2 linked regions of the Macaca mulatta genome follow. The protein of the gene in region 1 binds, or shares a complex with, the protein of each later gene. Links are inferred from orthologs where the notes say so. Each region holds a gene or a part of one and is shown in the gene's direction. Other genes may lie near its edges.

Evidence for each region.
Region 2: GTF2F1 (region 1) and POLR2E share a complex: the UniProt entries of both Homo sapiens proteins name them as parts of the TBP-based Pol II pre-initiation complex. The link is inferred for Macaca mulatta from reciprocal best matches to the Homo sapiens genes GTF2F1 and POLR2E.

The regions. Positions count from the first base shown.
Region 1 is NC_133424.1:7,269,333-7,273,236, reverse strand, and holds the start of GTF2F1 (general transcription factor IIF subunit 1), read left to right. Parts: upstream 1-922; 5' UTR 923-1,164; coding exon 1,165-1,176; exon of another isoform or gene 1,177-1,241; intron 1,242-1,260; coding exon 1,261-1,307; intron 1,308-2,181; coding exon 2,182-2,254; intron 2,255-3,904. Other genes in the region: adenylate kinase isoenzyme 1, read right to left, coding at 306-489, 856-921. UniProt on the Homo sapiens protein: TFIIF is a general transcription initiation factor that binds to RNA polymerase II and helps to recruit it to the initiation complex in collaboration with TFIIB. It promotes transcription elongation.
Region 2 is NC_133424.1:1,753,202-1,757,105, reverse strand, and holds the start of POLR2E (DNA-directed RNA polymerases I, II, and III subunit RPABC1), read left to right. Parts: upstream 1-1,433; 5' UTR 1,434-1,478; coding exon 1,479-1,535; intron 1,536-2,736; coding exon 2,737-2,911; intron 2,912-3,904. UniProt on the Homo sapiens protein: DNA-dependent RNA polymerase catalyzes the transcription of DNA into RNA using the four ribonucleoside triphosphates as substrates.

The DNA.
Region 1 (3,904 bases):
ACCCTCGAGAGGACACTGTAACCCTCGAGAGGACACTGTAACCCTCGAGAGGACACTGTAACCCTCCGTTGGGAGCTGGTTTGACAGATTCACCTTGCGGGGCCCCGAACCCAGGAGGTGCTCGAGTATTTCCGAAGTGGAGCAATGAATGGTTGCGCCGTGAGCATGCGCAGTTGTGTTACTGCCATGACTGGGGCGTGTGTGCATGCCTGGAACGGGGTAGGGGATCCTGCATCTCCCTACTGTTCTCTGCAGCCTCCTTCCCTTCCCCCCAGGAAGCCAGCCAGCCGCCCCCGCGACGTTACCCTTCTCCTGGGGCCTCAGAGCCCTGCCCATCTCGGGCAGCTTGGACTTGCAGAGACCCATCCAGCCAGCAGGCCTTGGGGTGGTCGCTCCCCGACCCCGCCCAGGCTCTGACCCCTCCTGGCTCCGCACAACGTCACAAGGGTCCCCGCCCCGGTCATTTTGCGACAATGACGGGGTCCATTCCTTCGGGGGAGGAAATGAACCCCAAACAGGCCCATGGGGAGCCAAGCAGCGGTTCGACCCAACCGGAGTAGGCCTCGGTTGCTATGGTGACGCGGCCTTCTTGGCCCTCCCCAACCCCGGTCCAGAGCGATATGGCGCATGCGCAAAGTGCCTGGGGGCCCGCAAGGAGGACTCTTCTCCCTCTCCCCACCCAGGATGCCCCGCGGTCCTTGGGTGTGACGTCACGAGGGAGGGCGGCCCCCCATTTGATGAAGTTAACTGTGTTGTATAAAAGAGCGCCAGCGACAGAGGCCGGTTAGTTTATCTCAGACTCGGCCTGGGTTTGCTGAGTCTAAGAAGGGACCGTGGTGGCCCTTTTGAGGTGACCATAGCCGCCGAGGAGCATAAGTGACTGCGCATTGAGGCGGCCACAGTGGCTAAGAAGGTTGCCATCGCGACGCGGCCGCTGGAGGGTTTCGCTTCCGGGTTAAGCGGCCGCAGAAGCGTAGACGGAGTAGCTGCAGCGCCTCTTCCGGTTACCTTTTCCCAGTGCCGGAGGCGCCTGGGGTTGGGGTCTTCGCTCAGGGACAGAGACCCGACAGCGAGCGGCGGCTTGCCCGGGATCGAGGGACGCGCACGCCAGAGGAGACGAAAGGAACCCGGGTCGGACCAGATCGGAACCACTGACCATAGCCCATGGCGGCCCTAGTGAGTGTGGATTTGGCGGGGTTCCGGGGTCCCGACGGCGACCTCGGCAACTCCTCACTCACCGTCCGGTTCCTCTTTCCGCAGGGCCCTAGCAGCCAGAATGTCACTGAATACGTCGTTCGAGTTCCCAAGTAAGTGTCCAGCCCCATCTCCCCCTCCTCTCCACCCTCCAAAAATGAAAACCTTCACGGTCTTCTTAGCCAGGCGTTTCTGGCCCTGTCTGTGATTCTCCCTCCAGACTGGGAGAGACTTGGAGGGCAGGGCTGGGATTAAGCTGAGGCTTCCCTGGAGACAACCCTGCTTTTTTAAACGAATGAATGAATGAGTGCATTAATAACACGGCGATCCAGCCCCCTGGCCTAACCTTCGATCCCATGATGCTCAGGCCAGCTGTAAAGAACATATTCCTCGTCCTGTTTCAAAATGGTCGGGCTATCTTTCCTTTCTAGGCTTTTGTACATCCTGTTCCCTCTGCCATGAGTGCCTCCCCTCAACCCCTAAACTGTGACTCTGCTGGGTGAATTCTTGTTGATTCTACAAAGCTCAGCTCCAGTATCTTCCTCCTCCAGGAAGCCCTCCATGCCTGTCCTCCCTCCTCCCCAAGGCTGAGTTCACAATAATCTCCACATCTTGGGTTCCCTCAAATCTTTGTCCCTCCATCTGCTCTTCTTCTGCCTGGGGTCAAGAGGGGATGGGTCTAGCTTCTCTGGCAGACTGGGAATCCTTGGAGTCTTCTGTATCCAGTGTTGCCAGGCAAAACAGGCTGAATGAATCGAATCGGGGTGGGTTTGTTGAGTGATTGAATTGAATAAATGATTCAATTGAATGGAATGATTGAATTGAATTGATGGTTCAATTGGATTGAGCGATTGAATTAATGATTTGATTGAATTAATGATCCAGTTGGATGGCTGATTGAATTAATGGTTCAATCGCATTAATTCATTAAATTAATGATTGAACTGCTGTATTGGATTGACACCACCTCTTTCTAATCCACTCCAGGAATACAACCAAAAAATATAATATCATGGCTTTTAATGCAGCCGATAAAGTCAACTTTGCTACGTGGAATCAGGTAAGTCCCTGGGTCCTGGGGGTTGGGAGCTGGGGTGGTGGGAGAACATGACCCTGACCTTGGTGATTGTAATAGTTGCTTAACTGTCATAGTAACTAAGTCTTAATTTTCTCACTTTTCTCAAAATGAAGAAAAGATAGATGACAAAGGATTGGGTGCAGTAGTTCACACCCCTGATCTCAGCACTTTAGGAGGCCGAGGCAGGAAGCTTGCTTAAGGCTAGGAGTTCAAAACCAGCCTGGGCAATGTAATAGCAAGACCCCAACTCTACAAAAAAATTAAAAAATTAGCTGGGGCTGGTAGTGTGGGTCTGTAGGCCTACATAGGAGGCTGAGGTAGGAGGATCGCTGGAGCCCAGGGGTTCAAGGCTGCAGTGAGCTATGATTGCATCACTGCACTCCAGCCTGGATAATAGAGCAAGACCCTGTCTCAAAAAAAAAAAAAAAAAAAAAAAGTCCGGGTGCCATGGCTCAAGCCTGTAATCCCAGCACTTTGGGAGGTCGAGGCGGGTGGATCACGAGGTCCGGAGATCGAGACCATCTTGGCTAACATGGTGAAACCCCGTCTTTACTAAAAAAATACAAAAAAGTAGCCGGGCGAGGTGGCGGGCGCCTGTAGTCCCAGCTACTTGGGAGGCTGAGGCAGGAGAATGGCGTGAACCTGGGAGGCGGAGCTTGCAGTGAGCTGAGATCCGGCCACTGCACTCCAGCCTGGGGGACAGGGCGAGACTCCATCTCAAAAAAAAAAAAAAAAGAATGACAAAGGCCCAGGTCAAGCTCCTGGGTGTCCCTGTAAGTTAGGTTTGGTAGGCCCACCGGAGGCCTCTCCTTAAAGGAGAACATTCAGAAGTTGTGCCCACCGATGGGCATTTTTGACCAGGGTTTATCTGGGCAAGGGAGGGGACTGGGCTGGGGGCTTTCCCAGAGCCCCTGCCATCAGAGGCTCTAGAAAGGAGTTTGGGAGCCATTAAAGTGTTTTCAACTGGGAGGTTGTAGTGTGATCTGGCTGTTGTGGGGAGACAGACTGTGGGTTTGAGGGCAGTTAAAGGGAGACCGGGTAGAAGCAACTGGTCTGGTCTAGGTGAGTCCTGGTGGGCACTGGGGGCAGTGGAGGTTATGAGATGTGGCTGATTCTAGAGTGTTTTGGAAATGGTATATATGGACCTTAAATCAAGAGCTTAAGGGTAATTTGGATCATATTAGCCACATAGGTCACGATAAATGGTAACATTTGTAGAGATTTTGGTGCCTTAATGTCAGCAAATGTTGCACAATGAGATTCTTTTTATTTATTTTATTTATTTATTTTTTGTGATGGAGTCTCTTGTTGTCCAGGCTGGAGTGCAATGGCACGACCTGGGCTCACTGCAATCTCCACCTCCCAGGTTCAAGCCATTCTTCTGCCTCAGCCTCCCAAGTACAGGTGCCTGCCACCACGCCCAGCTAATTTTTGTCTTTTTATGAAGTTTCGCCATGTTGGTCAGGCTGGTCTTGATCTCCTGACCTCAAGTAATCCACCTGCCTCAGCCTCCCACCGTGCCCGGCCTTTTTATTTTTTAAAAATAGATATAGAGTCTCACTATGTTGCCTAGGCTGGTCTTTTCTTTTTCTTTTTTTTTTTTTTTTGAGACGGAGTCTCGCTCTGTCGCCC
Region 2 (3,904 bases), about 5.5 Mb from region 1:
TTTGTATTTTTTAGTAGAGACGGGGTTTCACTGTGTTAGCCAGGATGGTCTTGATCTCCTGACCTCATGATCCACCCATCTCGGCCTCCCAAAGTGCTGGGATTACAGGCTTGAGCCACCGCGCCTGGCCAGGATGGTCTTGATCTCCTGACCTCATGATCCGCCCATCTCGGCCTCCCAAAGTGCTGGGATTACAGGCTTGAGCCACCGCGCCTGGCCAATTTTTGTAGTTTTTAGTAGAGACAGGGTTTCACCATCTTGGCCAGGCTGGTCTCGAACTCCTGACCTCATGATCCACCCACCTTGGCCTCCCAAAGTGCTGGGATTACAGGCATGAGCCACTGCGCCTGTCCTATTTATTTATTTATTTATTGAGACGGAGTCTCGCTCTGCGGCCCAGGCTGGAGTGCAGTGGCCGGATCTCGGCTCACTGCAAGCTCCGCCTCCCGGGTTCACGCCATTCTCCTGCGTCAGCCTCCCGAGTAGCTGAGACTACGGGCACCTGGCCCAGCTAATTTTTTGTATTTTTAGTAGAGATGGGGTTTCACCGTGTTAGCCAGGATGGTCTCGATCTCCTGATCTCGTGATCTGCCCACCTCAGCCTCCCAAAGTGCTCGGATTACAGGCATGAGCCACTGCGCCCAGTAACGTTATTTTACTAAATCCTGTCTCTGAATGCAAGGGATACCTGGCCTGTTTTTATTCACCATCACTGTAGGTTGCTGAGTAAATGCTGAATTAATGAATGCATCACTGAGTCAGTGACTGATTGCCTTCACACAGCGAGTGCTGGGCTGGGATCCTCCGTGAATCTGGGGAGGTGAGGTTTGCAAAGACAGGACGGATCTGGGGTGGGGAGATACCCAGGCTAGGCTGGCACTCAGGGGAGAGGACAGAGGTGAAGGGACTTAAAAAGCACCTAGAGATATGCCTAGCTCTACCTAAGACTCTCAGTTAACCGCCTAAAGTAGGGACACTTTTTGCCATTGCACAGGTAGGGAAACTGAGGCCCAAGGGCATTAACCCTGACCTGGCCTGGAGCCAACAGAGGAAACCCTGTACAGTTTGATGCACAAATATTTAAAGAGTTCCCACTAGGCTCCCCGACCGTCCCTAGGAGCCGAGCTGCCCCTTGACCCATTCCAGGCCTCAGTTTCCCCGCCCACACTTCGCCCCCGCCTCATGGGATTCTAAACTGTCGCCGCAACGTGGGAGTTGAACGGAAACTACAACTCCCAAGAGGCCGTGCAGCCAAAGACACACGAGAACTACGGAGGGAGAGTCTCGCGCAGCAAACTGCCGTTCTCGCAAGGCTCGGGCTGCCCTTGGCGCTGCCGATCCCGGAAGTTGCTGCATTCAGGCGTTCGCCGACGACAGCCCATCGCGGGGCGGGGTTACGTGGAGGGGGCCTGATTGGGAGTCGGCGCAGGCGCAGTCCGCGCGGGTTCTCGCAGGCAAAACGGGTGCGAGTGGCGGCGATGGACGACGAGGAGGAGACGTACCGGCTCTGGAAAATCCGCAAGACCATCATGCAGGTGAGCCGCGCGTGGTGTTGGGGGCGGGGGCGCGAGCAGCAGGTGCAGGGGCCCGAGGCGAGGTCGAGCTCGGCGTCTCCTCGTACTCCCGTCGCAGCAGCAGCGACGGAGGGCCCGGCCGACACGGGAGGCCCCGAGGCCGCCGGGGATCCCAGGCGCTGGGCCCGACCTGAGCCGGCAGCGGGGAAGGGAGGGGGTTTCGAGACGTCTGGGTGCGGGGCTTAGCGGTGGGCGGGCGGCTTGGGCTGGTGCGGCGCACATGGCGGCGAGAGGAGGAAGGTGCGAATGGGGACGGGGGGCGCCCCCAGACCCTGCCCCTCTCTGTGATTCAGCGTCGCCATTTGTCCTTGCGTCCTGAACCCCAGGGCGTCTCAGCATCCGAGGCTGGCGGAGTTGGTGGTTGGGAAGCAGCAGGCGAGCTGGGGCTTTCGATGGGGACGTGGAGCCCGGAACCCGTGCCTCGGGGTCTGAGACAGATGGAGGCCACTGGGCCGACTCCGGTTTGGAAACTGGGCAAAGGTCTGAGGGCCTGCGGTTCAGGGTCCTCCCTCAGCCGTTGGGGCCGTTTGGGAGCTTTTGTTTTGTCTTGCTTCCCCACCCCCTATGCCCTTGTCTTTAGCGAAGCCCCCCGCAGCCTGATTCTCCTTCCTCCGGGCCGCAAACATTGTCAGCCTGAAGTCACATTTGTTTCGGTCCCTGTCTTTTTTTTTTTTTTTTTTTTTTTTTTTTTTTTAAGAGACAAGCTCTCACTCTGTCGCCCAGGCTGCAGCGCAGTGGTGCAGTCATAGCTCACTGCATCCTTGAACTCCTGGCCTCAAGCAGCCCTCCTGCCTCGGCCTCCCTGAGCTCTGGGGTCGTGGACGTGACCCCCCACGCCCCGTCTTTGTCCCTGTCTTTAGGGTAGCTCTGCAAAGTGGTTTGGAGGGCTTTGCCCCCTGCCAGGTTCCTGTGAGGCTGGATAGACGGACGGTCTTGGTCAAGGCTGGACACCTCTGCGAGCCTCTCGGGATCACGCTGGTCCCATCCTGTGGTGTGGGGCTGTGGGGGCCAGGATGGCTGTCATGGGGCACACAGCGAGTGTTCATTCCGTTTGCTGTTCACCTCTGTCCTCTGCAGCAGCCGCAGGTCTGACTTCTGGGTCACGAGCTCTGGCCGCCTTCCTGTCTCTGCCCTGGGGTCAGCTGGTTCTTTCTCTCTGCAGCTGTGCCACGACCGTGGCTACCTAGTGACCCAGGACGAGCTTGACCAGACACTGGAGGAGTTCAAAGCCCAATTTGGAGACAAGCCGAGTGAGGGGCGGCCGCGGCGCACTGACCTCACGGTGCTGGTGGCCCACAACGATGACCCCACCGACCAGATGTTTGTGTTCTTTCCAGGTGAGCAGCGGGTCCCGGGGGAGTTCTGGTGGAGCCGCCCGAGCACCTGCTGAGGAGCCGGCCGCTAGCACCCACCCCCTCCCGCCTCGTGCCCAGCGTTTGATCCTCTGCCCAATCTGGGAGGAAAACTTCCCCTCCTCTTCCTTGCTGTGGGCGATGCCGTGGACCTCTGACCCCTCTCATGCGCAGCCTCTTTCTGGTTTCCCTCTCATCGGTCCCCTTTCTTCCTGCCAACCAGGAGAGTCCCATGGACCTCCCTACTCACCCGCAGCCCCTCATGACCTTTGCCCTACCTGTGTTCCTTGGCTCCCCCATCCTGGCCGTTGGGTGCACTTCCAGCTTCTTGGCCTGGCCCAGGAGGCCCCGTGTGGGTCAGCGCAGCCTCCTTGTGAGCTGTGGCCCCTGTCTGCCCCAGCCCATTCCTCTGCACCCCATGCCGCCTCTGCCTTGTCAGCGTCCGCTACTCATCCCTCGAGGTTGTGCTCAGGCCGCTTTTCCCGGGACCCCTGGGACCCTCGGTTTCAGCACCTGGACCGTGGAAGTCTCCCCACCTGTCTGCCCCCCCCCAGGATGGCTCTAGCGCCCTCAGTGGTTGGGGGACTACCAGCGCCTAGGGACACAGCCGCGTGCCCAGAATTAATCAGTGGGGTGGACGGAGCGTGTCTGCCAACCGGGTGATGCTACTGCTTTTTTTTTTTTGAAAGTCTCATTCTGTCACCCAGGTGGTGCAGTGGTGCCATTTCGGCTCGCTGCAGCCTCCACCTCCTGAGTTCAAAATTCTCCTGCCTCAGCTTCCTGAGTAGCTGAGACTGCAGGCACCCACCACCATACCTGGCTATTTTTTTTTTTTTTTGTATTTTTGGTCGAGATGGGGTTTCACCATGTTGGCCAGGCTGCTTTCAAACTCCTGACTTCAGGTGATCTGCCTGCCTCGGCCTCCCAAAGTGCTGGGATTACAGGCGTGAGCCACTGCGCCCGGTCTTCTTTTTTTTT